Alligator mississippiensis: one gene and its partners. Each later gene encodes a partner of the first gene's protein in a complex. Links are inferred from orthologs where the notes say so. Each region holds a gene or a part of one and is shown on either strand. Other genes may lie near its edges. The genes, in order: SMARCD1, PBRM1 and PHF10.

Region 1 (10,779 bases):
GGTTTTCAGGGTATCGTCCACTTCCACATCAATGTCATAGCAGGCTGTTTTCTTCTGGTCATTTGGGTCAACACTGGGGACATCACAGAGAAAACCAGAACAAGTGAGATGCTGAGAGCAGCATTTTATTAAGGTCTTAACAGCATGTGGCTTCCACCCTCCAGGTGTACGGGTAGGAACAACTAGGGCTGGCATTTGCACTGTGCTGGCTTATTGTATCCGAAGAAAAACATCAACTGATGCACTGAGAACAATTCCAGCTCCAGAAATGCATAGGTTGCTTTGCAGCACTGGGGACTGGGTGCTTGCTCTGAGTATAGTTGTTCAGAGATGATGCATAATTCTGGGGGCACTCCCGGGGCACAGTGTAAGGGAAGGCTGCAAGAGAGGACGTTTTTCGGAAGAGACTTGAAGCCCGAGTGCAGAACCTTGTGAACTGGGAAAAAACAGCCGCTCCCTGAACACTTGGCAGAGTTAATGAAACATGAACAGGTGCACAAAAAGAAGCTGGTACTGGGAATTAAACCACAGCAACAGACATTTCCCCCATGCAATTTTATGCATCCTCCCTTCTGTCCAGAAACACTGCCCCAGGTAAGCCAGTCTCACCTGATCACATGGTTAATGATAATTGGCTCTGGAGGCATGAGCAAAGCATGCAGTCTTTGGGGGATCTCTGAGAACTTCATTCGTTGAGACTCAAATATCTGCAACAGAGAGAAAGCTGGAGGTGGGAAATATGCAGCTTGGAGAACTGCAGGAGCCAAAGGCATGAACTTCCCCAGGCTCCCTGCCCCAGCCATGGGGCACCTTTACCTGCTGGAGGTACTTGTCACAGATGACATACTCCCGTTCATGGGGGTCCTGCAGTTTGTGGGTCTTGATATACTGCCACAGTGCCTGAATGATCACCGGGCGGGTCTGGGTGTGTATCCCCAAGAGACGGGCCAGGCGGGGGTCCAGCTTGAACTGTGGAGGCTGAGACAAAAGCATGACAGAGATGAGAAGATGCGGGCTGTCCCCTGGCTCTGAGCTGCATCATGTAAGCCTGCCTACCTGGTAGTCCAGCATCAGGAGGACAGTGCAGCGCACATTCACATCACCAGGCCTCTTCACCTGGAAGCCATCCGTCTCCTGGGTAGTAGCAGTCCTGTGCCACTGCAATGAGCAAACCAGGGAGACAGCTTGACTTACGGACACACACTGCTAGGCGACTGCCTTTGCCCCCACTGCCTGCCCAACAGAATGCCTTTCTATACACTGCCATTTACAGATGACTGAGGTCCCTCCCCACACAGATCTCGTCCGTCTGGCTTTGGGCAATCTCTGCCACGTGCGCTGCATTTGGCCAGAGAGCACCGAGACCACGCCAACATTCCTTCTGAAAGGAGGACAAAACCCTAGCCTTGGGGCTTAGAAAGTCCACCAGAAAAGCAAACAGATAACCAATTTGCTCAGCCTATCTTCCAAGACGGGGACTGAAAGAGTTTGGCTTGTTTGCTCTTGCAAAACAAATGCCAAGTAGAAATATGACGGCTACAAATGCAGCAGGAGACAAAAAGGCTATTTAACCTAAGAACAAATGGGTATAAACTGGCCATGAATAAATGTAGACAGGAATTGAGAAAGCTGTAACGTGTCAGAACAATCAATTGGTTTGGAACAGCCTTCCACCGGGAGCAGAGGAGGCAAACAAGACTAATGGCTGTAAGATGGAACGTGATACAACCTTGTGCCCAACACAGCAGAAGAGTGGACACGATGGCAAGGAGCCCTTCCGGCCCTGTGTTCAGAGGTAAACTGTGCACAGAAATCCCTCAGGACCAAGACCCTCAGTGGTGACAGCAGGGCAGGACATACTCTGCTGCCTTCCCCGAGTTATCAGCCTTACTCCGAGTACGGAGAAATGGAGGACAGGCACTTATGCTGTGTTATGCAACAGCTACTCGTATGGACAACAGACTTCATCCACTGCCTGCACTGTTACAGATCTGAGGCGGCTGAGCCAGGTGGCTAGAACTGAGAACACACGTACACGACTGCCACGCAAGTGCTCCATGATCCCGCAGCATCATGCTTTGTAGTTCGGCACTTCTCACGCTCCAGAGGCACACTGATATTCTAGTAATGATTTGTAGTTCAAAGAGGAGCTACCTTTCATCTCAAGATTTAAAGAGATTCATAAACTATGAAAGCTGCAGACCTAAAAAATTCATTCTCTTCTGCAACAGGCACCAGCCCCCACTCAAGATTTAACTCGGCATCCTTCCCATTTCACAAATGTTAACAACATGTCCCAAACTCGCAACAAACCGGCAGCACAGTTAGGATCAACCTCTCGAGTTCCTGGCCCACCCCTTTGTGCCAGCCCCTAGACAAAACCACATCTCCCAGGAACAAGACACGCACCTCCCCACTGCCAACACTGCAGCCCTCCCTCAGGGACAGTAAGAAGGACAGCTCACCTCCACCAAGTGATTGTCTGGGCCATACAGGTCTTTATCCAGCTCGATGACCAGAGACTTAAAGAAGGATGAAAACTTCCTTTTCTGTTTGGTGGCATCATATTTGGACAGAGCTGACTGCAGCAGCACAGAAGAGGAAGAGTGTCATGGCTGCCCACCCCAGCCATTGAGCATACATAACAGGGCTGATGAAGATGATGACCTGAAGCCCACAGAACACTTGCCTCTTTACTGTGTGTTTTATCCCTTTCCCCATAAATCTGCCTTAGAAACATCCCTATCCACAGGCTGGAGAACCAGGCACGGCTCTCTTACCCTTACCCTCCCCCAACAGATTTCTGTTTCATTCTTACTGAACACCAAGGAGGCCCCTAGTTACAGCCTCAGCCTCTAAAGAGCTGGTCTGCCCTTGCAAGTCCAAACCTTTTAAATCACAACCCACTAGCAAGGGACTCCCATCTTATGCCCACTCAACCCACATTATCCGAACACTGATGCACCTCCCTTGGCCTCCCAAAAGGAGCTGCAGCTCTCGCACTCACATCCTCTAGCAGACGTCCTTCCACCCTGAGCTCCCACGAGGCAACAGTCCCCTCACCATCCTCTGCATCCGACTTGGCCGGATTGAAAGTGTTGGAAATGAAGATGCGAAGCTTTCGTTTTTGCTAAGAAAGTATCAGCAAAACATTAATGGCAAAACCCTAAACGCTAAATGCCAATAACCCCGTCCATGCCATGCCCGCAGCCAAGACGCTTTCCCTCTGCCTTTCACCTCCCCAGCACGCTGCCATGTAAACTAATCCCACGTCTGGGCAAGACAAAGGGCGTAAGCCGCTCTCCTCCTCTACCTTAATGGGTCGTTTCAAGGCCTCCTGGATATCCAACCGTTTCCTCATGATCGTCTGGTCCAGTTTCCTTTCAAATGCCAGCAGATCCATGTAGGCCTGAGATTCGGGTACCAGCTCACGAATCTGCAGCAAAGCACAAGCCAGTCAAACACGCCGCTCAAACCGCTGAGAGCTTGGAGACTGCGCGCACGCGCCACACTCACCCTCTGAGGTAGAATTTTGTCAGCCATTTTCTTCTTCTTAGCGCTGCGTAAAAAAAGACACATGCATTAGGGTGGCAACCCCTTTGCCCCTCAGACCGGAAGGGGCTTTACCCTCAGACCTACAACTGTGTTGCGAGATGCTCTGGGTCATCCTTGGCCCTGGCCTCTCCAGTGCAGCTGTTATACTGTCAGCCCACGCATACGGCGCCTAGCCACAGCGGGGCTGGCACTCGGCTCCGGCACAGCAAGCTCTGCAGCACTGAGACCCCCCGGGTCTCTGAACATCTCCGGTCTCCCAGGGGAACCAGGGCTGCACTGAGCTGGGGGCAGTATTTTACTTTGGTACAAAGCGACTCCGCACTCTTGATTTAACATCGATTGATAGATTTTGCAGTCAATCCTTTTCTCAACCGACGGATAACGTTGGGCTGCCACCGCTCACCAAGGCACAATGACTGCTATGAAGTTAAAAAAGAAAAAAGCCCAACCAACCCAGAGCTGCCCTTGCTGTACCATCTGCGTACCGTTATTTCTACCTAATTCGGGGGCGGGCAAAATACGGCCCGCAGGTCCCCTAAAAAAAAAAAAAATGTACAAAATGAATATGAATCTGCTCCTGGCTGCCTGTCAAAGATGACAGGAACCAGGAGCAGTAGGACCCAGGGGAAGCCACCGGCAGAACGGCACAGCCGCAGCAGCAAGTCCCACCCACCCCGAGCCCCAACGGGAAGGGGCTTCTGCCCTCGAGCTGCTCCTGCCTCCCCGCGCCCCGGGTAACACAGATGAGGAGGAAAGGGGGGGCGGAGAGAGAAAGGGGAGGACCGCAGGCATCGCCCCAGTCCTCAGGGGCTCCTGGTGGCAAAGCTCAAGGGTGAGGACTTCTGGTCCTAAGGTGTCAACCAGGGACGGGGCAGCGACAGCTTGCCAAAACTCGAAGCGCGGCCGGCCCGCCGCCCGAAATCACCGCCCGCCGCCACCCAGCGACCCCACCCCCACCCCCGAGACCGCAGCCTAGGCAGGCGAGCGCGGCTCCCGCTCGCGGACACGGCTCCGGGCGGGCGCGGGGGCCCTTACTTGTGGTTGCGGTTCTGCACGGCCTGCTGCTGCACCTGCTGGATCTGCTGCGGCGCCGGGCGCTTGCGCGACTGGTCCAGGCCGGCCTGGGCCATGCCGGGCCGCACCGCGGGGCTCCCGCCGTAGCCGGGCGGGCCCATGGCCGGGCCCTGCGGTGCCAGGCGGCTGCCCGGCAGCAGGCCCGGGCGCTGCGGAGACAAACACACGGGCCGGTCGGTGGCGGGCCCACGCGCGGCCCGGCCCCCCCGGCCTCCCCTCCCCCCCCCATACCGGGTAGGCGGCCCCCGGCAGCGGGGAGCGGTAAAGGCCCTGGCCCGGCGCCGGCCCCATGCGCACGGGGGGCCCCGGCGCGCCCGGCCCCAGCGCCCCGGCCCCCGCGGCCGCCCCGCCGCCGCCGCCGCTCGGAGCCACGGCCTGGAAGCCCGCCCGCGCCGCCATCTTGTGCCGCACAAAGGGGGCGGCGGGAGGGGCGCCGCGCCGGAAGCGGAAGCGGACCATAGAGCGCGGCGCCGAGGCGGGGCTAGAGCGCCCCGGGGGCGGCGGCGCGCGCCCTCTGGCGGGGCGGGGCGGGGCGCTTAGGCAGGTCTTCGCGGTGGCGGAAGGAGCAATGGGTGCACGCGGTGGAGGTGGCACTAGGCCGGCAGACAGCTGGGCTCAGGTGACTGTCCAGGCTCCTCTGGGAAACCTCCAGGGTAGGGGACTGCACACCTCCGGAGGGAGTTTATTCGGGACACCCGGGCTGTGAAGGAGTTTTCCCTGCTATTAAGCCTGAAGCGGCCTTGCAGGAGTTTGCACCCATTGGTCCTGGTCTTCGCGGGGGTTGTTCCCCGAGCTCCCGCTGCACTCCTCTGAGATAGCAGTAAGCCGCTATCAAGTCGCCTCCCCGCCGTCTCTTGAGACCGAAGTCCCTCCGCCTCTCCGCCTCTGGCTTGCCTTGCAAGTCCCTCATCGTAGGGGCGCCTCTTCTCTGGACCCGCTGGAGTTTTTCCGCACCCTTATTGCAGCGCGGCGCCGCACCGTGACAGCGACCGCGGGCTGCAGGGCCACGGCCGGTGGCAGCGACTGGCCCCCCCACAGCAGCCCGGGCAGGAAGCTGGGGCGTCTGTGCCGCGCCCTGCCCGTGCGCTGGCCCAGCCCGCAGGCCCTTGCCCCTTGCCCGGCGCGGGTCCCTCTTGCCTCACAACCCAGGTCCCAGCTCCGTGCCGAAATGCTGACATGAGGTGGAGGCTGGTGGGAGTGAGCTGTATCCTTCGTGCCGCCAGGGACCGTGCGCAAAGGCGCGGCGCGCCCTTGATGGCAGCACTTGCCGACGGCTTGCGTGCCGCGGCCGCGCCGGTCCTCAGATCGCTGCGGTAGCCCCAGGAGCGGGTGCGATCCGCTCCTCTCATTGCTATGCTATGCCTGCACTTGGGGTTTGCTTCACGGCTGGCTCCAGTTCATTTAGGTCTGTCAACTCCTTTCAGAGGATGTTGCTTCTACCATTCCTCTCCTAGACAAAAACCGCCTCTTCCTGGCCAGCCTAGCCCCAGCCCGGCCCAACAGAAGTGGGTCACAAGCATAATTTATATGCACTGCTCTTTGTTCCAGAGAAACACTCGGCTGAAAAGGCTTTTGGGCAGAGCTCTTGTTTATGTCCCAGTCTGCACAGTACACTTGGTCCTGCATGCACAAGGGCTACTAAGTCAGACAAGTGAGACAGGCTCTTCCTTCAGTGTCAGGTTCTTGCCCCAAACCGACCCCGGTAAAAGGCTAGCGGGCTCACGCTAACAATGGGAAAAGTGTGTTTCCTACACGCTTGAAAACAGACTCTGCTTTTGCTCAAACCTCCCCAATCGCTGACTCGCCGCCAGAGGACAAAGCCAGTAAATAGTTGAAAAGATGTCCCTTGGACTGGAAGTGCTTCCAGCAGCCCCTCCTTTGGGACCCCCTGATCTAAGTGAGCTGTTACAAAAGCACGCCTGGAGTCTCTGGGCCTCTCACAATCTAAGCGTGCACTTAGGGCAGGGCCGGAGCTTGTTCTCGCATCACGGCCCCGCTCCACGGCCGGCTGAGAAGCCCACCTCAGCCCTGCAGGGAGCCCAGCCTGTGTGCAGTGCCTACCCGCCCCTGGGAGATTGATTCCTGCAGCCCAGCAAGAGAGAAGAAGGCTGTCTTCATGATTTATACCATCCTTTATATCATTGCTAAGAGTAGCAGGTTTGATGTACAATGCATCTGTCATCTTATTGTGCTTCCTATGAAAATGTGTGTACATAGTACAGATACCAGAGATAATTCAACACTTTATACACTTGAAGGCATTCAGAGATCGGTAACAGAAAATGGCACAATATCAAGGCCTAAATGCTACTGGATGGGTATCTACACTGATATGGCGCATATAGAGGTATATATATATATATATGTACATATATATATATAGTAATATATATTATATATAAGAAATATAAAATGAGGATGATTATAATAAAAACAGACAAACAAATAAAAAAATTGTATGCCTCAACAGGTGAGCATCGAGGTCAAATCCAAGCCCCATCTTTAAAAGCTTTAGAGAAAGAGAGAGAGAGGGAGAGAGAGAGAGAGAACAAAACCAAAAAATAAAATGAAAAGCAACAAAACTGCAAGAAAGATCCATAAGAAAATTTATGGACGTGGCCGACCCATTTGTCTTCAGGTGACTGCAGGATACAAAGGACTGACCCCCCCAATTCCTAATTTTGGTCAGGACATGGAAATAACAACAATAAAAGTAAAAGAAAGATTAAAAAAATAATAATCATCATTAAAAAAAAGACTTATTGCAAAAGCTCTTAAAGATAAGTAGCACTTTAGCCCGGCAGGGCCGTTGCTGAACATGGGGCAGAGCTCGACAGGGCTGGAGCCCAGTGTCGGGGGCGACGGGAAGGCTTTTTCATTGACCGTGGAACAAAACAATTGAGGTTTCCTGGGCCGGCAACCCCTGCTGCAGCGGTATTTGTGACAAACAGCTGCAGCCCAGCAGCCTGCGGTGGGTCTGGAAGGAGCGGTGGTCCATGGAGGGGGCCTGGCTCCCTGAGCACAACCCCCTCTGAGGGCAGCCGGCCAGCAGAGGCCCCAGGGGACCCAGACCCAGGACAGCTGCTGGCCACTTCTGCACCAGACCGTGCCCAAGCCCTGTGTTTCCAGGAGCAGCTGTTGCCTGGGGGAGCCTGGCTGCAGGGACAGGGCAGGTGTCCACCCCCTCCCCAAAGCAAAGAGCCCTGTACCTCAACACCCCCCTCCTGCGGTAAGACTACTTGGCGTGGGGAGGGCGGCTGAGGCCCGGGCTGGGGTGTGCGCGTAGCGCCTGCCCTGCTCAAAGCTGCTGCCCCGGGTGCTTGGCTCAGTCCAGGGTGCCAGCGCTCCTGGCTGCAGGCGCTCCCGGCTCCAGACTCGCTGTTCCAGGAGCGTGGTGGGCTTGTGCGTAGCCTGGCAGAAGGGGCGCAGAGCCCCGTACTCCCTGGGGGACGAGGATCTGGGCAGGCACCTGCCAGCATGTGGCTGCCCTGGGAAAGCTGAACCAGGGCCTTGTTGGGGGGGTCACACCTGTGTCCGGCTGCTCCACGGGCTGAGGGGCAGCCTGGGAGCAGCTGGGCTGAGAGGCCATGCTACTGGGCAGGCTCCCCCTGGACCACCACTGCCTGCGCGGTAACGGGCATCGCGGAGATGTGGTCAGGCCCCCACATCCCCTGCCCACCCAATGCACTCGCCCCTGTGCAGGGGGCTCGTCAGGCAGTGGAGAGGCCCCTTCCGCAGCGACTTCCCATCCACCTGGGGACTGCTTGAGGGCAGAGCGGCTCGAGGCCCCTCGGGTTCTTTGGAAAGCCCTCCTCCACCCCTGGGGCCAGCCACAGTGGAGGCTGGGAGGGGGCCTCAGCCCTCTACACCGTGGGGGCTGGGGACAGAGACCTCATAGGGCTGGGGCAGGGCAGCTCATGCAGAGGATGGCGATAGAAGGACTAGAGCGACACTAGCTCACGGAGGGAGCTGGCGTGACCTCGGCTCAGCTCGCAGCACCGTGCACGGGTGCACTGGAGGACAGCGGGCGCGCTGGGCACAGGGCAGAGCCCTTCCTATGGCAGCAGGCTCCCGAGGACCCTATACTCAGCGAGACACAGTGAGATGCGCTGGGGCTGACACAAGAGCGAGAGCGCTCTGGCTGTGCCCAAGAGGCAGCAGAGGCGCTCGGGGGTCAGCTCTCGCCACCCTCTTCCACCTGCCCCAGGGATGACAACCTGGAGCATCCTGCTGAAGCAGGGGGGACCCAGCCCAGCACCCACGGGGGCTGCCTCCTGGGTGGGAGCAAGGCCCTCTGCAGAGCTGGCTCAACTCGAGCAGAGGGACCAGGTTCCCTACACCCGACCTTGCCTCCCAGGGCTCCCCGTGGAAGCAGGATGGAAGGGAAAGCAGGCAGACAGATGGATGGATGGGGAAGGGGGAGGGCCTCCTCCCCCTGGTGCCTTCGCAGCCACAGAGCTGACTCTTCCTGGCTTCTGGGTTCCTTGCTCTCTTTAGTTAAAAACGAAGGGGGAGGCGAGGGCAGGAGCGGGGCAAGGCCTGGGCCCAGCCCGGCGTGCGGTAGCTCCCCGCAGGGCGCTGAGGAAGAGACGCCCCCAGCGTCGCGTCACGGTGTAGCTGGGCTGGCATGTCCAAGAGTCTCTAAACTAGGGGTGGGGAGGGGAGCAGCTGCTGTGGAGTCTGTATCCAGGGTCAGAAACCAACCCAACACAACCATCTGCTGCCTGGCCCAGCACCGAGGCCATCGTTCTTGTCCGTGTCCCACCGTGGCTAGGAGCAAGGTCCCTAGGTGTGTCCCCTCCGCTGACGCTCCCGGGGAGAGGGGCAGCTCTCCAGAGGGCTTTGGTAGTGTTGGTTGTACATCCAGACGTCGAGTCAGCAGGTGAAGTCCTCAAAAGTGCCCCGGGTTGAGTGATGAGGTAGGATGTTGGCTGCGTATGTCATGCCAGCTGGGTGGCCCCTTATGCTCTCGCAGGGGTTCTGGGCACAAGGGAGAGGCAAGTTAGGAGCATGTGAAGACAATCCCAAACCCCCCAGCAATGGCAACGCGAGCACTGCTAGAGAGGGAAAGGTCCTTAGAGGGGCAGCCCTTCAGTGCCCTGATGCCCCCGCTATGTGGGCGCTGGAGGGTGGAGGCTAACTCTGGCCGAGCCCCGGGCACCAGGGTGGGGCCTCGAGTACTCACGTGGCGCTTCACATCATCCATGCTCAGAGCAACGCCCTGGTCCGCGTTGTTCCTTCTGTGGTTCTTTCGGCACTTGCCCCGGCGACACAGCTTGTGCTTTATAACCTGGGGGCAGCAAGAGCATCTGCTGGCTGAGACAGCCCCTCTGGACACGAGCAGCCCCGTGCTCTTCAAAGCTGGGGAAGGGCCAGGTCGCCAGCGATGGGACGTCTGCGACGGGAAACGCACAGGCCAGATCCTGCTTGCAGCAGGGGATCCAGCGTGACTCCACGTCCTGCACGCGCACTGGGAAGGCTGAGAGCACAACCCCACAGCACCAGTGTCTGGGTAGGAAGGGTGGGATAAGAGTATGGTGGGAGGGATGTCTTCGCAGGAGACGTTTGGGTCCATAAGGATTGGAAGAGGAGCCCAAGCTTGGCAGAGGCCCAGGGAGTGGCAAAGCAGAAAAGCCCAGGCTGACGCGACGGGGCTGGAGGGTAAAATCAGGCGAAGAGCGGCCGGCAGGCAGGCAGGCAAGGGACATGGAGCAGGGGAGCAGCTGCTCTGGGCAAGGCAGGGTCTGGGCAAGCAGGTTGGCAGGGAGGGGACCTCTGGGGAGCGCTCTGCTGCACGGCAGGGAAGGGGGCTTTATCCCCCCGTGGCCGACCAGGCTCCAAAGCCAAGGAGAAGGGAGAGCGAGGCAACTCACCTCATAAACATAATCAACCAGCTCTAGCACAGTCAGGATACTGGCCCCAATAAACAGCCCCATCTGCCCACCAATGTCACCTGCAGAGGAGAGGGGACGAGAGGCAGTCAGGGGGGAGCAGCAGGCTCTGCTCCCAGGGGCTGGGTGACAGCAGGGATGGAAGCAGAGAAGGAGAAAAGAAAGGAGGTGGGAGGGAGGAGGCGGCAGCTGCACCTGTTGTAGTGACTCATTTGCCTGCAGCGACAGGCCGGATCCCTCTGCCGTTAGTTCACACTAA
Region 2 (9,889 bases), on another chromosome or scaffold:
ACTGCAATCTGAAATGCAAATACACTCTAGTTAAAGCTAATGGGAATGCTATGTGGGCAACAAACTAAGCCTCGGTTAGAGTAAGACAAGAGCTGTGCTTTAAATTGTTCTAATGCACAGGTGTCAGACACACCTGTGTCTGACCTTTCATAGTTGGTAGGTAGCTGATTTCATTAACAAATGAAATCAGCTACCTGGCATACCCAAATTCTGTATAATGTTAGCAAGTGTTTTCTAAACACCATGGTTACATTAGAAAACTTCTATGTTATGAACTCATTCTTTAATCTTCCTAAACCTGCAGACCCCTGAATTTATGACAAAGGCATTTTAGCACTCTACAAATAAGCTGTTAACTCTAAAACATTATGTCACTTGAAATATCAGTGTTGACTTTTTATATACCCATCATTTTAGCAAAGGGAAACAGAATGGGAATGAAGTTAAAATCATAAAATATGGAAACAGAAAATCACTGCAGAGAAGAAAATGTAGACAGAAGACAAGAGGAGACCCAAAAATTGCACAGACAGAAAAGCAGCAAAATGAGAAATAATGAGCAACAGAATGAGACAAGCAATCAGGAATTCAGAAACCAGAGCCGAATAAGATACTGAATGGATAACAAACATTTGATGTAGTATATGGAAAAGCATCATTATATTCTACCTCTTCATCTTTGCGCATATACTGCACTGACATCTGCAAGAGATCTTCAGAATGCTATCAGGGGTGCTTAAGCATAAATTTACACTCAAGCTCATAGATCATAATTAAAAATGGAATTCAGACTTCTTCACAAAATGAGTCTAACACCTCTTCTTCACAGCAATCATCTGAGCCAATGTACATAGAGTGTTGTTGGACTTCAGATAGTTATAAATAGGACTCAGTCAAAATTAGAGCTCAGGACACAAACTACACCTCTCAGCAAGGGAGACTAGGGAACGCTGCAAAGTCCTTAAAAAATGTAAAATATCACTTTGGGAGGACAGAGGTAGTCTGGAAAAAAGACACAGCGCCTCAGCTATGGAACATTATGTTACTGTCACCCTTATTTTAAATGTTCTTACCAAATATGTCTTTTTACAGCAAAAAATGTTCTCTTAATCGTTTTAACTTTTCAAAAGATATTCCACATTTGGATTTATGCAGCAAGATAAAATGTGTGCATGTAAAAAGGTACTTACAGGATCTACAGTTGGGAGATTAGACAGTCTCCGCCTTTTCCTGCTCGGGCCTGGTGTATTTGTTGAGTGGTGACCATCATCAAAATCTCCTCCACTGACACTGCTGGAAGGAGAAGTAGCCCTTCGCCTCTTGGAACCCATGGAATCCAACTTCTTCTATAATGAAGAAAGATGTTCTTAAACTTAAGGCATTGTACACAAGTTTTCTGGTGACAGCTAACTACTGACTATCAGTTAAGGGTATATAGAGTCAGGAACATTTGCAACAATTTACTTATGCATTGTTACCTAATGAGATTATTATTAAGTAAACTTTCAGAGTTGCATTAGTGGTTTAAGTCTATAAAATAGCACTGTTGCACACAGGTCAAGGAAAGTTATTATTTCCCTCTATTCAGCACTGGTGAGGCCACATCTGGAGTACCAAGTACAGTTTTGGGTACTCCACTACAGAAAGGATGTGGACAAATCGGAGAAAGATCAGCAGAGGGTAACAAAAATGGTGAGGGAGGCTGGGGGATCATGACTTATGAGGAAAGACTGAGGGAACAGGGCTTATTTAGTCTAGTGAAGAGAAGACTGAGAGAGGATTTAATAGCAGCCTTCAACTACCTGAAGAGGTATTTGAAAGAGGGTGGAGCTAGGCTGTTTTCACTGGTGGTCAATGATAGAACAAGGAGCAACGGTCTCAAGTTCCAGCAAGGGAAGTTTAGGTTAGATATTAGGAAAATTTCTCTCACTAGTGTTCTAGTAAAACACTGGAACAGGTTATCAGAGAGGTGGTAGAATCTCCAACCTTGGAAGTGTGTACCTCCCAGGTTACAGAAGTTTTATAAACCCGATTAGACAAAGCTTTGGCTAGGATGATCTAGTTGGGGATGGTCCTGCTTTGAACAGGGGGCTGGACTAGATGAAGTCCCTTCTAACCCTAATTTTCTATGATTCTATGAATCAAATACATTTTGAATTATATACTGCTACCCATCCCTGCAGGGCTGGGGACTTGCACAAAGTGCTGCAATTATCTAGCAGTTACTAGGATGTTTTTTTAAACTATAAAAGCTTATGACTCCTCATTCCAAAATAATGATAAGATGTATTGTCATGATACATGAGAAGTTCAGAGATAGTTTTACAACTCTGATAAGCTAAAAACCAAAACATACAGTTAATGCAACTAAGAGTAAAATCACAACTGCTATGTAATATCTAGTCCCAGAATCACAAAAACAAACAGACAAACAAAGGATTTGGGCCACAATACAGGTAAATTTGGTTGCATTCTCAAGCTACATCATTCTCACTTGAAAATTAGGACTGAGTGCAAATTGGATCACTCAAGGAGTCTTCTCTTTTTGTCCCTGGTCTGAATTTATTAACATCACTATTGACTGAAATTATTAGGCATCCAGCAACTACTGAGTTTACTATGAAACATATTGCTGGATCCTGCCAAAATGTTAATGGCAAGGTGTCACTATTACAAAAAAAATATTTCCAGTGTCACCCATGCTCTTTTCACTTTAACAATGTATTTTTCTGTTATATAATCTACAGTTTATATAAGGTGAAGTAGTGACATAGCTATGTTCATGTTTATTCCAGTGAACAATTCATTACAAGTAAACAAACAAGATGAATGAGCATGAGGTTGGATTCACTAAGGCTAAGATAAAGAAAAATAAAAGGCCAGGCAGGGGAAAGGAAGAAGGGTGTGTATATGATCAATAATTTACCAGATTTACCAGAGTACAACCAGCACCTCGAAAAGCCAGTCTCCTCATTGTGTCCAATGGTCAGGTTAAAGTACTAAGAGATGGCAAGTCTTTGAAAATGTCAAATCAGCAATTGCATTAATAGCCAAAGCTGAAAGAGAAGAAAAATGAGAGAAAAAACAGAAGAGGGGAAAGGTTAAAAGGAGAGAGTAGAGAGAAAAAGAATTTAAGAATAACAGTTGAGAAAAGCCATCACAAAGGCTGGAGAAAAGAGGAAACATAAATTTGGAGGGGGTTATCAAAAACTAAAGGTTTTCTGCATACGCAAAGCATATACATTTCTGGAACTTTTAACTAAAATGTTTAAATGCTACTATAATGTGAGCCATTCACTAGCCCGAGTAATGCAAGTATCACTTCATCTAGTAGCCTAAGTGTAAGAGGGAGTAAGTGGAAACTGTAAGTTGATGGTACTATAAAAAAGTAGTACAGTGACAGTAAAAAGAAGAAAAAAAAAGTCTTACAACCCTAAGTTACTAGGCAGACTTGTAGCAATGACCCACACCATCAAGACTCTCCGGAAATTGCTGATTCTACTTTATTAAGCCTTAATTTAACCCCCGTTCAAAAACCTTCAGCTATATCCCTATTGCATGACAGATTTTCAACATATCATACCATGAAATAATGAGCTTGATTAAACACAGATCTACTAAAATCAAAAGTGTATCAAGTCCAGCATGGAAAATATTAATCTATACAGTTTTGTCAGCAGTGAATACCTGTTCTAAAACTGTTCTTCTAAAAAAACTGTATTCAAAGAACCAAAAAGAATAAAATGATTTTTACTCATCTAGTATGTAGTACTTTATCATTTGGAATCAAAATATTTCATGTATCCTTGAATAATGCACCAAGTACTAGTGTATCTCCACTAGAAAATTGGTCCTTATATGAAGCAAAGGATCTTGAGGACTATAAAATAATCTGATGGGATTCAAGTACAGCATCTCCACACCACTTATACAATACTAGTAAATCCTAGCCATTATATTTTTTTAAACTTCTTTAAAAGGTTAGGCACCTGAAGACCCCACCTACAGGCAGTCACTGAAGAAAATTTCTCTTCCTAATACTAAAACATAATTTCTTCTAACAATATCTGAGGATGTAATATTCTGATGTACTCCATTAAGGTCCCACACATCTATTATCAAAAGTAATCCCCATGTAAGAATACTGTTTCTACACATCTTTAAAATATTTTTAAAAGGAGCTGAAAAGTGTTTTTTAAAAGTCTAAATTTTTACGTACCCTTCAGAGTAGCTAATCAAAGCATGTATATAGATGCCACAAAAACTATTTTTGAAAGTTCCCTGGATTTCTATAAAACCATTCAACAGATAGTTGACAAACACAACAAAATGATGGGGAGAGAATGTACCATATACTGTCCTGCAGCATTACTGACAAGACTAAAACTGTGTTGTAACCTGGGAAAGCATGTCAGAGGGTTGTTTCAGAGGATAAAGCAGGAAAGAAGTTAGCTAGGCCGCACAGTTGTCTCCTCAGCCTTGGAGAAAGAAGTGTACAAGACAGATAACAAGTACACAAAACAGAGGCTTGTCCCAGTTTAATTCTTCTCCTACCAAACGCTGCAGGACTCTGTTGCTCCCGTGGCAGGTTCCGGCAGCAGCGGCACTACTGTGACAAGACGGAACAAACTTTGAAGGGAAGCGCCGCTTCCCTGGGGCCACGCACGTCTTCGGGGCCTTGCACAGCCGTGGCAAGTGCGCTCTACCCTGCTGCCCGCCCCGACCCCGCGCATCGCCAGAGTGCACCGGACCCCTCACATCGCCGGAGACGTCAAGGCGTCGCGGCCGGTCCCTTCCCAGCCCCCGGCTGTCACCTGCGCTAGCGGCAGCAGAGCCCGCCTGCCCATCCCGGGGCCACCGACAGCAAACCGCGTGACAGCACCGGGCATCGAGGCTCCCGGCGGCGGCGGGGCTTCTCCCTGCGCTGACAGCCCCCGCCACCGCCCCGGCCGGAGCAGGAGCCTCGTGGAAGCACTGCGGCAACGCGTCTCCCGCGGGGGAATCGCCCCTCAAGACACGGGGCCAGCCCGGCGCGGCCGGCAGCGGGGGGCCCTCGGCAGTCCCGTGGCGCGGGGCGGGGGGTCGCCGCGCGAGGGCGGGCACCGCCGCCGCCACGAGCGGGCAGGGCGGCCACACAAAGGGAAGCAGAGGCCTCCCGGCTACCGGGCCCAGCCTCGCCCCGCCCCGCCCCGTCCCGCCCCGCCTCGGCGCACCACCTCACCGCTCACTCCCTCACCCACCCAGGCAGCTCCGCTCTGCCGCCCGCTACTGCGGCCGCACTCGCCCACCGCTGCCGCCCTGCCGGCACAGCCGCTGTCGCCCCTCACCACCGACCCTGCCGCTGCCGTAAAGCCCGCCCGGCCGCCGAGCGAGCCCGCCAGCGCGACAACCCGTGCAGCGCCTAGGGGCGGGACGCGGAAGGGGCGGGCGGTGCGCTTTACGGCAGAGCCGCCAGGTTCGGCTCCGCCGCCTGCACGCGGGGTGAGCGCGCGGCAGCAGCCATGAAGAGGCCTAGTGAGTGCGGGGCGCTGGCGCCGCCTGGCCGCGCGGCCCGGGAACGGGAGTGGGAGCGGGAGCGAGGCTGTGGCAGGGGCCAGCGACTGGGGGCCGTGGCCGTGGGAGGTTCGGGCGGGGCCGGGACTGGGGCGCGCGGTAGTGGGGGCCGGGCCAGGCCGGGCGGTCGCGATCAATCGGAGGCTGTAGCAACGTGGGGCCGGGACTCCGTGCCCAAGACCTGTGGCCGAGGCCCGGCCACACTCGGGCGCCCGTGGCCCGCGACATCATCGGGTGCTGATAGGCGGCGGCCTTCGTCTGCCCTCTGTTAATGGCGTGTCCTGATTGCAGAGCTTCGGAAGGGCAGCAAGCGCCTGACCTGCCACAAGCGGTACAAGATCCAGAGGAAGGTGGGTCACCAAGCGGGAGCGGTCGGATTCAAGGGACCAGTTTCTGCCCCAAGCACAGCATAGGCAGGCGGGAGGGGGAAGGCAAGCAGGAAAGCTCAGGCCAGGTCTTCGCTGCCCGGCTTCCCGAGGGCTTTGGGCTGCAAAGCACTACGTGGAGCCTCATTGTGTTCAGCTACATCGAAGTCCTGAACAGACTTGTTGCATTTGCAGGGGAGGGCTGTACACTGTTCAGCACTCACCTACACGTTCCCCAGCTGGGGCCCCGTAGTGCAGCTCCTAGTTCTTTCACACCGCACATGTTCATGGTTCCACTGTTTGTCTAGGGCAGTGGGGCTCAGTAGGGCTGTCCAAAATTTCAACTGGTGTTTTATTTTGAAGCTGTTTCGGCGCCTTTTAGCTTGGGACAGTGAAATCGAAATGAAACAACAGGCTTTGAAATGAAATGAGGGCACCCAAAATGTTTCAAGTTTCAAAGCAGCCCAGTGGCGGGAGGTGGGGGAGAGCTAGGGCTGTACTCCGAGCAGCTCCGCAAGCCCCACGAAGCTCAGCCCAGCAGCAGGAGAGCCAGTGGTGGAGCTGCTCTGAGCGCAGCCTTTGTTCTGAGCGCAGCCCTGGCCAGTGGCTCTCCCCTCCTTCCCGCTGCTAGGCTCAACTCTGTGGGGCTGCAGAGCCTCTTGCTGCCAGGCTACGCTCAGAGCGTCTCTGCCACTGGATCTCCCTGCCTCCTGCTGCCAGGCTGCACTTTGAGTGGCTCCACCAGCTCCATGGAGCTCAACCTGCTCTCTCAGCGCTGCCAGACTCCTTCCAGGGGTCTGGACCCCCAGATCTGAGGTATTTCTAATGTGCTGCGTTATCAAGAGCTCTAACATAGGGCTGTCTTCTAAGTAGCAGAGGGTTTCAGACCTTGCACCAGCACAAGCAATAGGCTGCATGCTGTGGGGGGGGAAATGCTGGCATGGCATTTTTTTTGGCTGATAAAGTCACTGATAAATTCTGTGTTTATGGCATGCATGGGGCTAGGAATACAGCCCAGCAGCTTAGAGAGCAGCCTCCTGCTGGTAAGCCTGGGTGGGGAAGGAAATTGAGGCTCCCAGGGTGAGGGAGGGATGGGGCAGGTGCTGCCCCATCCAGGGTGGTGAATGCAACCCTGGGGCATGTGGTGGAGCCACGCACTGCCATTCCAGAGGGCGGGGGGGATGGCTTCCTGCCGCTGTGCTCACCCTTGGGAAAGGCATGGGGGCATGTGCTGCCCCAGATTTGTATGCAGGGCGAGGGCAGGCTGCCCACTGCAGGCTTGGAGCCAGAGCTGCACTGGGGTGGGGTGGGGTGGGGTGGGCTCAGCTGTGGGGGTACAGGTAGCAGCACTGAGAGTGGACTTTGGGGACTATGGCCATCCCCAAATTCCCCATAGCCACCCTTCCCAGCACTGCTGCTGCCTGCCCCGCACAGCTGAGCCCACCCCACCCCCACCTACCCCAAGTGGAGCCCTGGCCCAGCCTCCACCTTGGGGAAGAGGCTGGTGCAGATGCTGAACCCTAGTGCACAGCGGGCAGCCCATCTTCACCCCCTGCACAAATCTCGGGGGGCACATGCCCCTCATGCCTCCCCCTAGGGGTGCGCACAGTGGCAGGGGGGAGTCCCTGCTCTGCACCCCCTAGATGAGCTACCCACGGCTCTGCCTCGCCCTGGGGTTGCATCCGCCACCCTGGGTGGGCAGCACCTGACCCATCCCTCCCTCACCCTGGGGGCCTTGATTTCTCCCCCCCCCCCCCCCCCCAACCTACCAACAGGATGCTGCTCTCCAAGCTTCAGGGCTGCATTCCTGGCCCAGTACTTGACATGCACGCAGCATTTATTGGTGGTATTATGGGCCAAAAAAAAGCTGAAGGCTGATAATGTTATTTTTTCTGTTATCAGTGCTGATCCAATATGCGACTGATATATCAGTGCACCTCTAGTCTTTACCTCCTTGCAGAGGGGCTGGGACATGGGGGTGGGATAATTACTTAGATCGGCATTAGCCTGAGCCTGAGTTAATCTACCTAGTTTATCTTATCATGAGGGAATGCTCAGAGGATCTGGCAGTACTCCAGGGTGTCCCATCGCCCTGGCTGAGAATCATTGCAGTAGAGGTTATTTTAAGTGGATATGGGAGTCTGAACGGTGCTTGAAAATTGCCTTCAAGTATATTGTAAAGAACAGATCTTCATTGGGAGGGGCAGTGGCACAGATGATGTAATACTGTAGATCTTTTGAATTTTAAGTTTGTAATACTTAGGATTCATTAATTTAGCTATAGCTACATGCGTGTTGATTTTGCAATTAAAAATCTTTCTCTGGCCACATACTTATATGTAGGCATTTAGCTTTTCCTATTAAACTGAATTCCAATATATATTCTTTCTTGATTACAGGTACGGGAACACAAGAGAAAACTCAGGAAAGAAGCCAAGAAGCGTGGAAACAAAAAGCCCCGAAAAGATCCAGGGGTTCCCAGTGCTGCACCATTCAAGGAGGAAGTTCTTCGTGAAGCTGAACAAAGGAAACAAAGGGTAACATAGTTTAATTTATAGTGAAGTGAAAGGGGGTATGAAGACAGCCTCACTTTCAGGGGAACTTGGTGCATGTCATCCTTCACTTTACATAGCCTTAATAGCCATTTACTTGGATGGGGGTGTTTAATCTAGTACCCAGTGCTGTCCACAGCCTGATCCCAGTGATTGGGTAGGGACCTGTGTCCTGGACTTTGGGGTTTCCCCATGCCGGATCTCTGTGCTCAGCTGAGTATTGGGATCTTTCATGTATCAACCCCAACATGCCACACTTTCACTTTAAGGTGTGATACAAACAAGCCACAAAGATATTATATATGGAATATCTTTGTGTCTTATTTGCTATATTAATATCCCATAAATCGGCTTTAACATATGTACTGTTTATGGCACAATTAACATCTTAATCATGTCCTAAATGTAGTGTATGCCAGGGCCCCAAGATCTCTTTCCTGTATTGTAACATTTAATGTAGATCCCTAGTTATAGGTTGCATATTATGGTAATTAATTTCACAATTTCAGATTTGAGCTCCTTCAGGATGCTAGGGTGAATGTTGTCAAGTCCTAGTGATTTGTTACTGTTTGGTTTATCAATCTCCTTTAAAAGCTCGCCTTGTACCTCTGTTTGGATCAGTTCTGCTGACTTGTCTGTTGGGAGAAATGGCTCTGGTGAGGGATCTCTCTAACATCTTCATAATAAAGTTCTGTTGCAAAGAACTAATTTAGTACAAGTGCTAAAATTCATGCAAATTAAATTAATAACATTCCAAGTTGAGTTTTCAACCTCTTTTTAACAAATGTACCCCTTCTGCCTCAAAGTTTCACCTTGTACCCCTTTATTTTTTTTCTTGTTTTTAAGGAGGTGGGGCAGATTGAGACCTCAGTGGTGGGGGAGGGAGTGGGGCAGGGCACAGGACTGAGCCTCAGTCAGTGGGGGGCAGCTCCAGCCACTACATGCATGGAGGGCATGGGGTGATGTGCCTCCAGATCTGCACGTGGGGCGAAGGTGGGCCACTGCAGGCTGGGGCCAGGACAGTGCCGGGTTCTTCCCGGTCAGGGGCTGCACTCAGGATGGGCAGTGGCGGTGCTGGGAGGGGACTACGGGAGGGGCTGCAGCCACTCCAGAATTCTCTGTAGGCCCCCGCCCCCCAATCCTTCCCCATGCTGCCCTGGCTCCAGCCCGCAGCTCACCCTCACCCCACATGCAGATCTGGGGGCACACGGCCCCTATGCCCTCTGGGGGTGCTCATAGTGGTGGGAGCTGCACCCCTCTGTCCTGCATTCCACCCTGGCTGTGCATCACCTGCCCTGGCCCCACTCCCTTTCTCACCGTGGGGGGCTACAGGAAGGGCTGCAGCCACTCCAGAATTCTCCATAGCCCCGCCCGACCCCTCCCTCCCAGCACCTCCACCACCTGTCCTGAGCGTAACCC
Region 3 (10,128 bases), on another chromosome or scaffold:
TTTTTAATACAGTCATATAAACTAGCAGTATCTCTGTAATGCTGCATGTTCATTTTACATTTTTAAAGTGAAAAAATATTTCCTTAAGACTTGTGCTACTTAATGAGTTTCTATGTACTTTGTTCTTTTCTCCCATATAGATTGCCAGCAGATGGCTCTGGGATGTTGCAAGGGATGACTGGGTTTCAGCTAAATGTGAAATGGAATCTTTTGTTGTATTGGCTTTGCTAGTTGCCTGTTATTTTGAGTAATTTTTCTAAAAGCTGCAACTATTAATGTATCTCACAGCATTGTGAATGTTTGTTCAAAACCTTTCAAAATATTATTGTTGAATGCTTTCTTTTAAATTTTAAAATAGCTGTTTTGTTAAAAATCCACATACTGTACTTTAATTCTTTCTAGTTTATTTGTGTGTGTGTTGTGCATATTATATGTCTACTGCATTTCTGTGTCTAAAAATTAATGATACGTTTAAGGCCACATCTTGCAAGGTACCAAATGTCACTTCCAGCAGTTGCTAAGCAATGGATTTATAACAAACTGCAGTTTAACAATTTCATTCATTAAAGCAAAATGTTCTGCCTTTGGAGGTGGAATTTGCAACAGAAAAGTAACATTGTATTTTCCCCTAGGTCTTGTCATATTCATCAAGCTGCACAGGAAGAGTTTGTACAGACCTGGTATAAGAAGCCACTGTAATGTAACTTATATTTAAAAAACTTTGATTAGATTAAATATATTTTCTCTCTCTACTTTAGTCAACTGTTACTTCTTATCCTTCTTGTTAAACAGTTTGGTATTTTGAAATTTGGAACATCCTGTGTAAATTTGTCTTTACCCAAATCTAAGTTATTCTGAATTTAAAATGACTTCCCAATAATTAGATTCTGATAATGGAAAATTCATAAATTTGTTGTAATTTTCCATGTACACAATTTAATTATTGGGATATTGTCTTAAAGTCATGGTCCCCACCACTTCAGCAGTAAAAGGATTGGTGAGGGGCGGGCAGCAGGGGGAATCAGATAGATAGCCTGACCCCTGTCCCTTGCTCCCCTATACCTTTCCTCCCCTCCACTTGCCCCACTGCTGCCTGCACCAAACAGTGCCTGAGTCCCCTTCCCCCTTGCTCTTCCCCATGCCTTCAACCCTTGGCACCTCCCCCCGCAGTGCTTTCCCCTTCCACTTGGTCCCCCTTGCTGCCTGCTCCCCAGGTTTTGTCCCTGGTCTTTCCCCCCACCTCTGCCCCGCCATCTGGGGCCCCCCACAGCCTTTTTCCCCTTCTGCCACCTACGCTTTCCCCCCCCACACAGCCACTGCCCCCTAACCCAGCCCCAATGGTTCTGGCAGGGCTCCATCCCTGCTACAGCCCAAGGCAGGGGTCATGTAGCTGTGTCAACCTGGCCTGGTAGCAGGCTGCTGCTGGTGGGTTGGCCTGGGCTGGTGCTGGAGCAGCTATATGTCCCTGCCCCAGGCTGGAGTGGGAATGGACCCTGTTGGAGCCAGAGAGTAAGTGAGGGCTCAGGGCAGGGGGTGGTGGTAGCTTCTGGGGGGTAGGTGAAGGGGTAGAGGCTGCAGGAGAGAGGGTAGGCAGCAGCTGCAGCTACAACCACAACTGTGGGTCAGTCAGAGCTGTAGCACTTGCCTCCTGACCCACCAAACCAGCCACCTTGTACTTGAATCTAAGATGAGGAGCATTCCCCCCCCCCCATTTAATGGAGGGGGGCACCTCATCTTGGATTTGAGTAAATGCAGTAATGTTTTGTACTACCAAGCCCTTACCTCTAACACAGACAGATCTTCAGATTAGAAATGTCACTTAAGCAGTAGCATAAGTGAGGTGGGATGGTGGGGGCACCAACCCTGGGCTCCAATTTAGAGAGGTGAGGAAACCACTGCCCCATGTGCTGCAGAACTGCCTAGTTACATGTCTGCTTATAAATGTTCACACTTGGCTTCAAGCTAAACATTGGGCCTCAGTCCAATCAACACTTAAGCAAATGAAAGCTTTCTTATTTGTGCATTTAAATACACGTGTATGGTCCCACTTCTGCAAATTCTTAAATATGCAAAGGCAGGGGAAGATGGCACCTTAGGACTTGTATACAGTTGCATGGAGTCCCAGTGTGTATAGAAAGGCATAAGCCGGCAGGGTGCTTTCAAATAAAACATATTCGATGACCTTTATTTCAAAGTGCCCTGCCGCCATTTTTTCAGCACTGGGATGCTGATACACGTGACACACGGGTGCTTTTAAATAAAGTGCCTGGCTTGCTAACTAAAGTGCCTGGCACCGCATCCCATAGCACATGTAAAAATGCCTGTAAAGACTAGGCATAAGCTTTCATAGGCTACAGGCTACTGCATACATTCATAGCATCTGATAAAGTAGGTTGTAGCCACCAAAAGGTTATGCCTTTCCGAATAAGTTAGTCCATGGATGCTCAAGCCCCAGCCCACAGGCCACACCTGGCTCCCAAGCCGTGTCACCCAGCCTGTAGGGCTCCCCAGTATGCTGAAAAACCTGGGGGGAGCACTGGCAGCATTAAATGTCACTTGCCTGCTGCTCAGTGTCTGGACCTAGGGAAAGCCCCAACACTGGTATAATTGCGGGGAGGATGATAGGGGTAACCACTGTGCCCCAACTTGGGGGGGATGTTGGGGAGATAGTTGCTTCTGACAGCTGTGTATTCACAATTATTTCAACAGCAACCTGAAGTTGCCCTTTTCACTTTGCTGTGGGTGCCTGACTGCATCCCTACATTGCTGGCCTCTCAGGCTGGGCAGTATGGCACAGCACTAAAGCCCAATCCCAGCACACAGGGGTGGTGCAGGACCTAATCCTGCTGGGCATGGGTGGCGTAATTTGCTAGGGCCTGAAGCCCAGTCCTGCCTGCGGACCAGGTCCCTGCCACTTATCTGGCCCACGGGTCCAAAAGTTTGAGCATCAGAGTTAGTTTATAACTGCTTTCTGCCTGACTTCAGACTAGTATGGCTAACTACCTCTCTTTAAATCTGTGGTTCTCAGCCTTTATAGGCTCAAGGCCCCTCTCAGAAAATGTCAGCTCTTAGTTTTCATTAATTTTTTGAGAGAAGATTATCTTGTGAATCATGTTTGCACACCTCAGAGTGCTAACACTATGTGGTTTCCTACAGCACCTTTGAAAGGATCTCAAGGCACCTGAGGAGCCATACTCCCTTGGTCGAAAATCACTGTTTTAAATATATGAGTAACTGACTTCTGTAAGACCACACATGGTGAATGAAATGGTACTATTCATGCGGGTAAAAACGCACATCTTAATTGTTCACAGGATCAGACTCTTAACTTTTCTGTAATGATATACATCTAATTTGTTCCGTCTTTAAATTACTTTAGTCTTGCTGGGAGACTTATGTGAACATGGGGAAGGAAATCCACACTTCAATGACTGAACAGATGTGAAGTTTGTCTTTCAGTGTTGTATATTTGCCATGGTGCTGTGCGTTTCACATGTTCTTTCTATTAAGCACTGTAGAATAAGTTAGCTGCAGACATTGCTCTAAAATATTCTTTTTCATGGTACATACAGTTGTCCAGTATGTTGTGATACACACCTTATTTGGTTGGCTGTTTACTTACATTTGCCACCTCCTTGATATTTCCAAAGACTGCATACGCTTGACAAAGGAGAATGGATCATTGCCAGTTTCCTTACTGTTTAAATCAAGACTGTTTAAATCCAATGCAAGACTTTCTTCCTCAGGGCTCTGATCACAAGGAGCCAGGCACAGCGACTAAACCCGCTCAGCCTGGCTCCATGTCATCAGAGCCCTGAGGAAGAAGGTCTTGCATTGGAAAGTTTGTTTAACTTGATCCCAACTGGCACCGTAAAAGACAACACCCTAAGAAATCCTTGCCCCTCACATTCATTTCTGGACCATCACGGCTACACCAGTGCTCTTGCACTACCGTAACATTAAAGCGTTACAATACCCCCCCCCCCAACTAGGAATGATTTCTTTTGTCACACCGGGCATAGCAGAGTTATGTGTAGTAGTCAGAGCATGAACGACTTGTGCCCCCAGTGGCTAGGAGGGTATGGCAGCAGCTGAAGTACAGCGGTTGCGGGAGGAGCCCAGTGGTGGTGAGCAAGGAGCTCCCACAGACACCGCCGGTGCTGAGTACTGACCAAGGGCTGGTGACCACCAGCAGCCAGCAGGGATTGCAGACTGCCCGTAGACATTGCCGGCACCGGGTGGCAAGCAGCGACTGCCTGCAGGGGTCAACAGTGTTGGCGGAGCCTTTTTGTAGGGGGTCCACCGCCATGCTCAGGGGGTGCATGTGTACCCGCATGCACCCCCTCTACGCATCGCCCCTGATTCAGAGTATTGTAGATGTTCAGTCCTCTGGGAACGAGGCTGTGTTTCTTGCATAGGCTTAGGAAATATATGTCGCTGTTGAGTTTGGCTTCTTTCTTTTTCATATTGTGAAGTTTCCATTTCAAACAGCAAAATGTGGTATCTTCCATGTTTTGAGGGTGTTGGTTGCAGCCGTGTTGATCTAAGGACATAGATCTCATAGATTTCACAGACATTAGGGCTGGAAGGGACCTCACGAGATTATCGGGTCCAGCCCCCAGGCGAAGAAGGAAAAAGGCTAGATATAAAACAAAGACACTGGCCCAGTACTCTGATCACCCAACAGAGGGGAATGCGAAGACAGTCAGAAAGCCAGCTACAATTCCCTGCCCTGGTGCCAGCAAGGCCCTGGCATCAGCTCACGCATACTGATTTGATCACAACCCCCACTGAGGGATGCCGGCTTTTTATTCCCATGTCACAGACCTGGGAACAAAGTTCAGGGTGGTGTTGCACCACGCATTGCCACCACTTAGGCCTGCTGTATGGATACGAGGGCGCGCCTCCACACGCAGTCTCTGAAATAACCATGCGGTAAATACAGCACCTTACACCGACTTGAGCGAAAGTTTGATAGAAATGAAATTTACACCCAATTAGTTAGGGCGCCGTCAGGCACGTGTAGACACCGGTCTATTCCTGCTTAACCCGCAGTAAATTCAAGGATGCACGTGTGGACAGCCCCGGAGGGTACCACAGTGCTGCGGCACAGCCACGCTCTCTATCCTCGGAGGTGTTTCAGACGGGTGATGCCGTGCCCCGTCCCGGGGGAGAGCGGCCCCGGGGGAGGGGGCCCAGGTGCGGGCGGCGCGAGGCGGAGCGAGCACAGGGGGCAGGCCCGCGGGGGGGGAGCTGCGGCGGCGGGCAGGGGGATGCAGGAGGCGGGCGAGCGGCGCGGCGGCCGGGCCCGGGGCCGAGGCCGAGGTCGGGGCCGGGGCCGCCCCCTCTCCCCGGCAGGGGCCGCTGCTCGCGTCGCCGCGGGGGCCGGGGGCGGGGCCGTGCGCAGCGCGGCGGCGGCGGCAGCGCCTCCCCCCGCCCAGCCCGAGCCCGCGGCGGCGGCAGGGACTGGGGTGATGGCGGCCGTGCTGTCCCCCAGGGTGTGCGACAGCGACCCGGCCACGCCCGGCGCGCAGTCCCTCAAGGTGAGCGCGGCCCGAGGGGCGCGGGCGGGGGAGCCTCGAGCGCCGGCGGCAGCTGCGCAGGCCGGGCCCAGCCCCGCGGCCCAGGCCCTCCCCCACGGCCCCGGCCCCGGGGGGTGCCTGCGTTGCCCTTGGGTCCCGGGGAGCTACCTCAGGAGCAGCAGCATAGCTAGATTCCTGGCGGCCCCGGGTGAACTTGTAGTATGCGGCCGCCCCTTTGCAAGAGATGATGATGGTAATAATAATAACAATTGCCATTTTGGCCTCCCCCCTCCCCCCCTTTCTTTTCACGTCCTGGGCGGCCGCCCTGTCTGCCCGTGCCTGTGTCCGGCTCTGTTTGTGAGCCAAACCCAGGGCTTTGGAACAGGAGTCCAGGGCAAAACCTGTGGCTGCAGGGGCCCGCTGCATCCAGCCACTTGCCACCCCTATGCTGCCAGTTTCACGTCTGGCTGCTTGCTGCCCCCGCCACTGGCTTTACACCTGGCTGCTTGCTGCCCCCCTGCCCCCAGCTTCATGTCTGGCTGTGCGCCACTGGCTTCTTCAGCTGCTCGCCGCCCTCCCCTGCGGCTGGCTTCTTTGTGGCAGGGGGCCCCAAAAAATTGTTGGTTGGCCCTGTCCATGGTGGTCCAAGCATGGCTGTAGACTTGTAGAGCACTTTGCTCCCCTCTTTTTTTGGGTCTCTCTCTTGCTCTCTCTCTCGGTCCTAGAATGGCTGGTGGGGCGTGACAAAAAAGACTGGGCTGCAGGTGAGGTGGATCTGGACAGAGAAGGAAATGCTCCAGATTTTGCGGAGGTGTGGAGTCATGTGTTTAGGAGATGACCGCCCCCCCCCTCCCCCCCCAAACAAGCCATGCTTTACAAAAAGGCTGGTCAGGCTCAGGCATCTGTCCTGGAAAGCATTGTTTCTGGCAACAGCTGGGGAGGTTGCAGAGAATAATCAGCTGAGCAGGCGCTCCAAGCAAGGTGCTGCAGTTAAGAGGTGACATAGACTTGCTCTGGTATTTTTCTGCAGTCCAAAAAAAAAAAAATGGAGAAAGAAAACCAAGAGCTGGCAGTTTCTAAGGGAGCTTCCAGTCTAAGGAGCAGGGCCTCCACAGGGGCCTTCTAAAACGGTTGAGAACCACTGTGCTACGCTGACGGGCCCTCTCTCTCCTACTTTTTCTGTTTCCCATGCATGAATTTAGAGGCTGGGATCAAGTTGTTCTTCAAGCCTTTTTAAAAAAATTTTTTTTTTTAATTAAGATACGCAGCCAAGCTTATTTTTTTTCTCTTGTTAGGAAACCTCTGTTCCATTCCTCTCATTATTCATATGGAGGGTTTGTAAGTTTTCTCCCATTTTGAACCTTCCTCCTTAAATTAAGGACACCAGAACCGGTCGTGGTATTCCAGTGGCAGAGAGGTGGTGTAATTGCACTACAGCTGCTTCGTGTCATCTCTCTAAAATAAATCCAAGAATCCTGTAGCATCTCGCAGCATCTCATTCTGAGTTTGTGTTCAACTAATTATTTCCCTGTTGTTCTTGGAATCATTGCTTTCCAGGGTGGAGGCCTGAGCCTTTCTTATAAAGGTGGCTTTTTGCTCCTAATTCATTACTTTAGACCTGGGTGAAATCCAGAACTTTTCATTCTCAATCCAGATCTGTGTCACCTGCAGCCAAATTTTTTTTTATGCTAGACAGGTTTTGGAGTTGGTAAGAGAGTACTGTTAAAATAATTTTGGTATCAAAGATAATGAATTCGAGAGGTAAGTAAAGATGTTCCTCCTCTGCAAGCCCTTGAGGAAAGTGCAGCTATTTTGGGGGTAACACTACATCAAACTTTAGATTCAATCCAGAAATGGAAACAGTAGGTCTAAGATGACAGTTATTGGCCTTAGCATCTGTCCTGGCATTGTTTCAGTTATTGTTGGAATTGGTATGTTTGCTGATGGAGATGGGATAAAAATATTCCAACAAAAATCACCAGGGCATTATGTCTGTGTGCTCATCATATCTACTTCTTAATATGATGTGTGCATAGGCCCGTGGTTCTTTCAGCCTTCACTCTTAAGCCAAAGGCTTTCTCATTGTCTTTGTGCTTTCCATCTTTGAACTTCTATTTTAGTGTCAAGGCTGAGTGAATATATTGTATTGATACTTGTTTCTATAGTTTTAGGGGAGGGGTAGGCAACCCCCAGCATGGTTGCCAGAGCATGGCACATGTGCCTCAGGTTGGACAACAGGGAAGGGGTTGCCACAACAGGGATCAGGCCCCTAGCAGCTCCCCCACTACGCACTCCAGCATGCCAACATCTTACAAGTCAAGGTTGCGATGTTTTTGGCACTCTGCTCATAAATGTTGCCGGCCCCTGTTTTAGGGTATCATAATAAAACTATTAAGATGTGGAGTTTCATCCACTTCTTTTCTGCTTCCCCGTTCCCTTTCCCTTTAAAACTTTTCTTCTGTTTTAAAAAGGATGCCATCAACTGAAGGTCTGTTAACTTAAATCTGTTTTTCCCTGCCAGTTGTTGTGCAGTGTTGTCTGCAATTAAGTTTTGCCAGTGTAACTGGATTGGTGAGGAGTGGGTATGTGCATGTAGGAAGGACTTATACACCAGAAAGACAGTGGTGCTGCTGAAAAATACCATGGTGTTAAAACCTTCAGAGTAAGGCAAGTATAGAGCGCCTCAAAACCTTATCCCTCACTGCCTTGTGGCCCTGATAAAAACATGCCCTTAGCGAGGCATTAGGCAGTCAGCAGCAGTTCTTATCTGTTGCTCGGTGACAGAAGCTACAACCATCAAGGGACTGAATGTTTGGACTAGGTGGCCTTTGGATTCTGTCTCAATGGTCTAAAGGCAGGGTGGTGGGTCTTGGGCAGCCTCCACTCCTCCATACTCCTGCCCAGGTGTATGCATCAAAGGTCTTGATGTGATGGTTGCAGAACTCTGTACAAGCAGATTCATCTGACACCTTATTAGACCTCTTACATGTACACCATGATCCAGAGGATCAACTGTTTCCTGTTATTCCTACCACCAGTCTAGCTGTACTGGTAAGCCCTTTAAATGGAGAAAAGCCCTGTCTTTCCCTGTGTTATATGTGCTTTTGTTTTCCTTGATGCTGTATGAAAGACCTATACAAATGAAAGGGGGAAATGGGCTGTAGATGAAGATCCATCAAACAAAGTAAACATTAGATTAGATGACATCTTTTTGCTATGATTACATACATTCCATTTTATTTCTACCTTTGAACATATGCCCCTGAGATCTCACCACAGCCTATATTCTAAACAACATCTCTTCTTTTGCCATTAAATCTCTTGAAATCTGGCTGGCAAGAAGTGCTATTGATGTTATCATTTCTATTCTGTGATAGCTCTGTTTTGAAAAGAAGGTTCCTATTACCTGTATTTTTCCAGCTGCTTTGCATCAGTTTCTTTCTCTACATTCTCTTCCTGAAAGGCATTTACTCTGTAATGCTCTGTTCAGAGCTTTATGTAAATTATGTATGGTTCCTTTTTATACATCTAAGAAAGTGAGTTTTACTGATACTTTAAGGGTGATTATATACACCCTCATTTTGCTGCTGGTGCCATACTGTGTTCCTTGATTTATATCAGCCCCAAAGAAGGACTGAGCACCTCTGCATTGCCACCAGGCATCCTGAGAAGGATATTTATATATTTGGGGGAGTTAGCCATACTCCCTGTTTTCTCTGTGATTTTCATAGAGTGCTGTCTCTGCTGATGGAGCTGTGCCATTGAGTGCATGGGAGATGGGCAGAACCAAACCTTTGTCTACTTCCCACTCCTTTTTTTTTTTCCTCACCTGATTTAAAGGGTTGGTTGGGGACAATAGAGTGGCTTAGCTTCCCTTGTACTTTTACCCATTAGGCAAGTAGCCAGCCAGTGCAGGAGAGCAAAGTGCTGTGCAAACTAGAGCAGTTTGACTTATAGGAGACCCATTTGAAATAGTGCAGTAGTTCTAGGGGGTAAGTTTATTCTGACACAGAATGGCTGACCCCAGAGTTTATTGTATTATTCTTTAAATAGTGGTATTATAATATATTGAGTACTGGCTAGATTTTTCTTAATGCTTGTGCTCCATGCTTTTATTGCAGGATGACACAGAAGAAAATTCAAATGATGGCAGCCAGCCTTCAAAAAGACGACGTATGGGCTCAGGGGACAGTTCTCGAAGTTGTGAAACCTCTAGTCAAGATCTTGGGTAATATCATTTTACTGAGGTTTTCAAACACTACTTCATTGCATGTTTCTATAGTTTTAGGAAAGAGTCAGTGTCTTTTTCTTTTCTTGTGTTCAGACATTTCTCTGACTTCTGTGATGGTAAATGAAATGGATTTGGGGCAACTTCCATGCTCTTTCAATATAGTTTTATTTGATGTAAGTTTAACTGAAATATCCTGAATTTAATTGTGTCTGATTGTACATCTCAGATCTTAAAATATTTTAAATATATCTCAGTAAGAACTTTTGGAAGTCTGTGCCAGCATTTTCTTGTTACCTTGTCACAACTAATACATACCTTGATTTTTGCCTCCCTTAATACTATGAGGAATGCTAGCTTTGTGAAAGCCTAATGAAG

Evidence for each region.
Region 2: SMARCD1 (region 1) and PBRM1 share a complex: the UniProt entries of both Homo sapiens proteins name them as parts of the SWI/SNF-B (PBAF) chromatin remodeling complex. The link is inferred for Alligator mississippiensis from reciprocal best matches to the Homo sapiens genes SMARCD1 and PBRM1.
Region 3: SMARCD1 (region 1) and PHF10 share a complex: the UniProt entries of both Homo sapiens proteins name them as parts of the neural progenitors-specific chromatin remodeling complex. The link is inferred for Alligator mississippiensis from reciprocal best matches to the Homo sapiens genes SMARCD1 and PHF10.

Annotation. Positions count from the first base shown.
Region 1 is NC_081838.1:5,930,292-5,941,070, reverse strand, and holds the start of SMARCD1 (SWI/SNF-related matrix-associated actin-dependent regulator of chromatin subfamily D member 1), read right to left. Parts: upstream 5,037-10,779; 5' UTR 5,029-5,036; coding exon 4,861-5,028; intron 4,779-4,860; coding exon 4,591-4,778; intron 3,560-4,590; coding exon 3,517-3,559; intron 3,437-3,516; coding exon 3,314-3,436; intron 3,131-3,313; coding exon 3,008-3,130; intron 2,583-3,007; coding exon 2,466-2,582; intron 1,159-2,465; coding exon 1,057-1,158; intron 979-1,056; coding exon 817-978; intron 708-816; coding exon 610-707; intron 74-609; coding exon 1-73. Other genes in the region: ASIC1 (acid-sensing ion channel 1), read right to left, coding at 9,505-9,609, 9,815-9,919, 10,503-10,582. UniProt on the Homo sapiens protein: Involved in transcriptional activation and repression of select genes by chromatin remodeling (alteration of DNA-nucleosome topology).
Region 2 is NC_081835.1:38,675,013-38,684,901, reverse strand, and holds the start of PBRM1 (protein polybromo-1), read right to left. Parts: upstream 4,917-9,889; 5' UTR 4,890-4,916; coding exon 4,815-4,889; intron 4,610-4,814; exon of another isoform or gene 4,555-4,609; intron 1,347-4,554; coding exon 1,191-1,346; intron 9-1,190; coding exon 1-8. Other genes in the region: GNL3 (guanine nucleotide-binding protein-like 3), read left to right, coding at 5,502-5,514, 5,845-5,903, 8,318-8,455. UniProt on the Homo sapiens protein: Involved in transcriptional activation and repression of select genes by chromatin remodeling (alteration of DNA-nucleosome topology). Required for the stability of the SWI/SNF chromatin remodeling complex SWI/SNF-B (PBAF).
Region 3 is NC_081824.1:146,950,278-146,960,405, reverse strand, and holds the start of PHF10 (PHD finger protein 10), read left to right. Parts: upstream 1-5,273; coding exon 5,274-5,543; intron 5,544-9,643; coding exon 9,644-9,750; intron 9,751-10,128. Other genes in the region: DYNLT2 (dynein light chain Tctex-type protein 2), read left to right, coding at 141-251. UniProt on the Homo sapiens protein: Involved in transcription activity regulation by chromatin remodeling. Belongs to the neural progenitors-specific chromatin remodeling complex (npBAF complex) and is required for the proliferation of neural progenitors.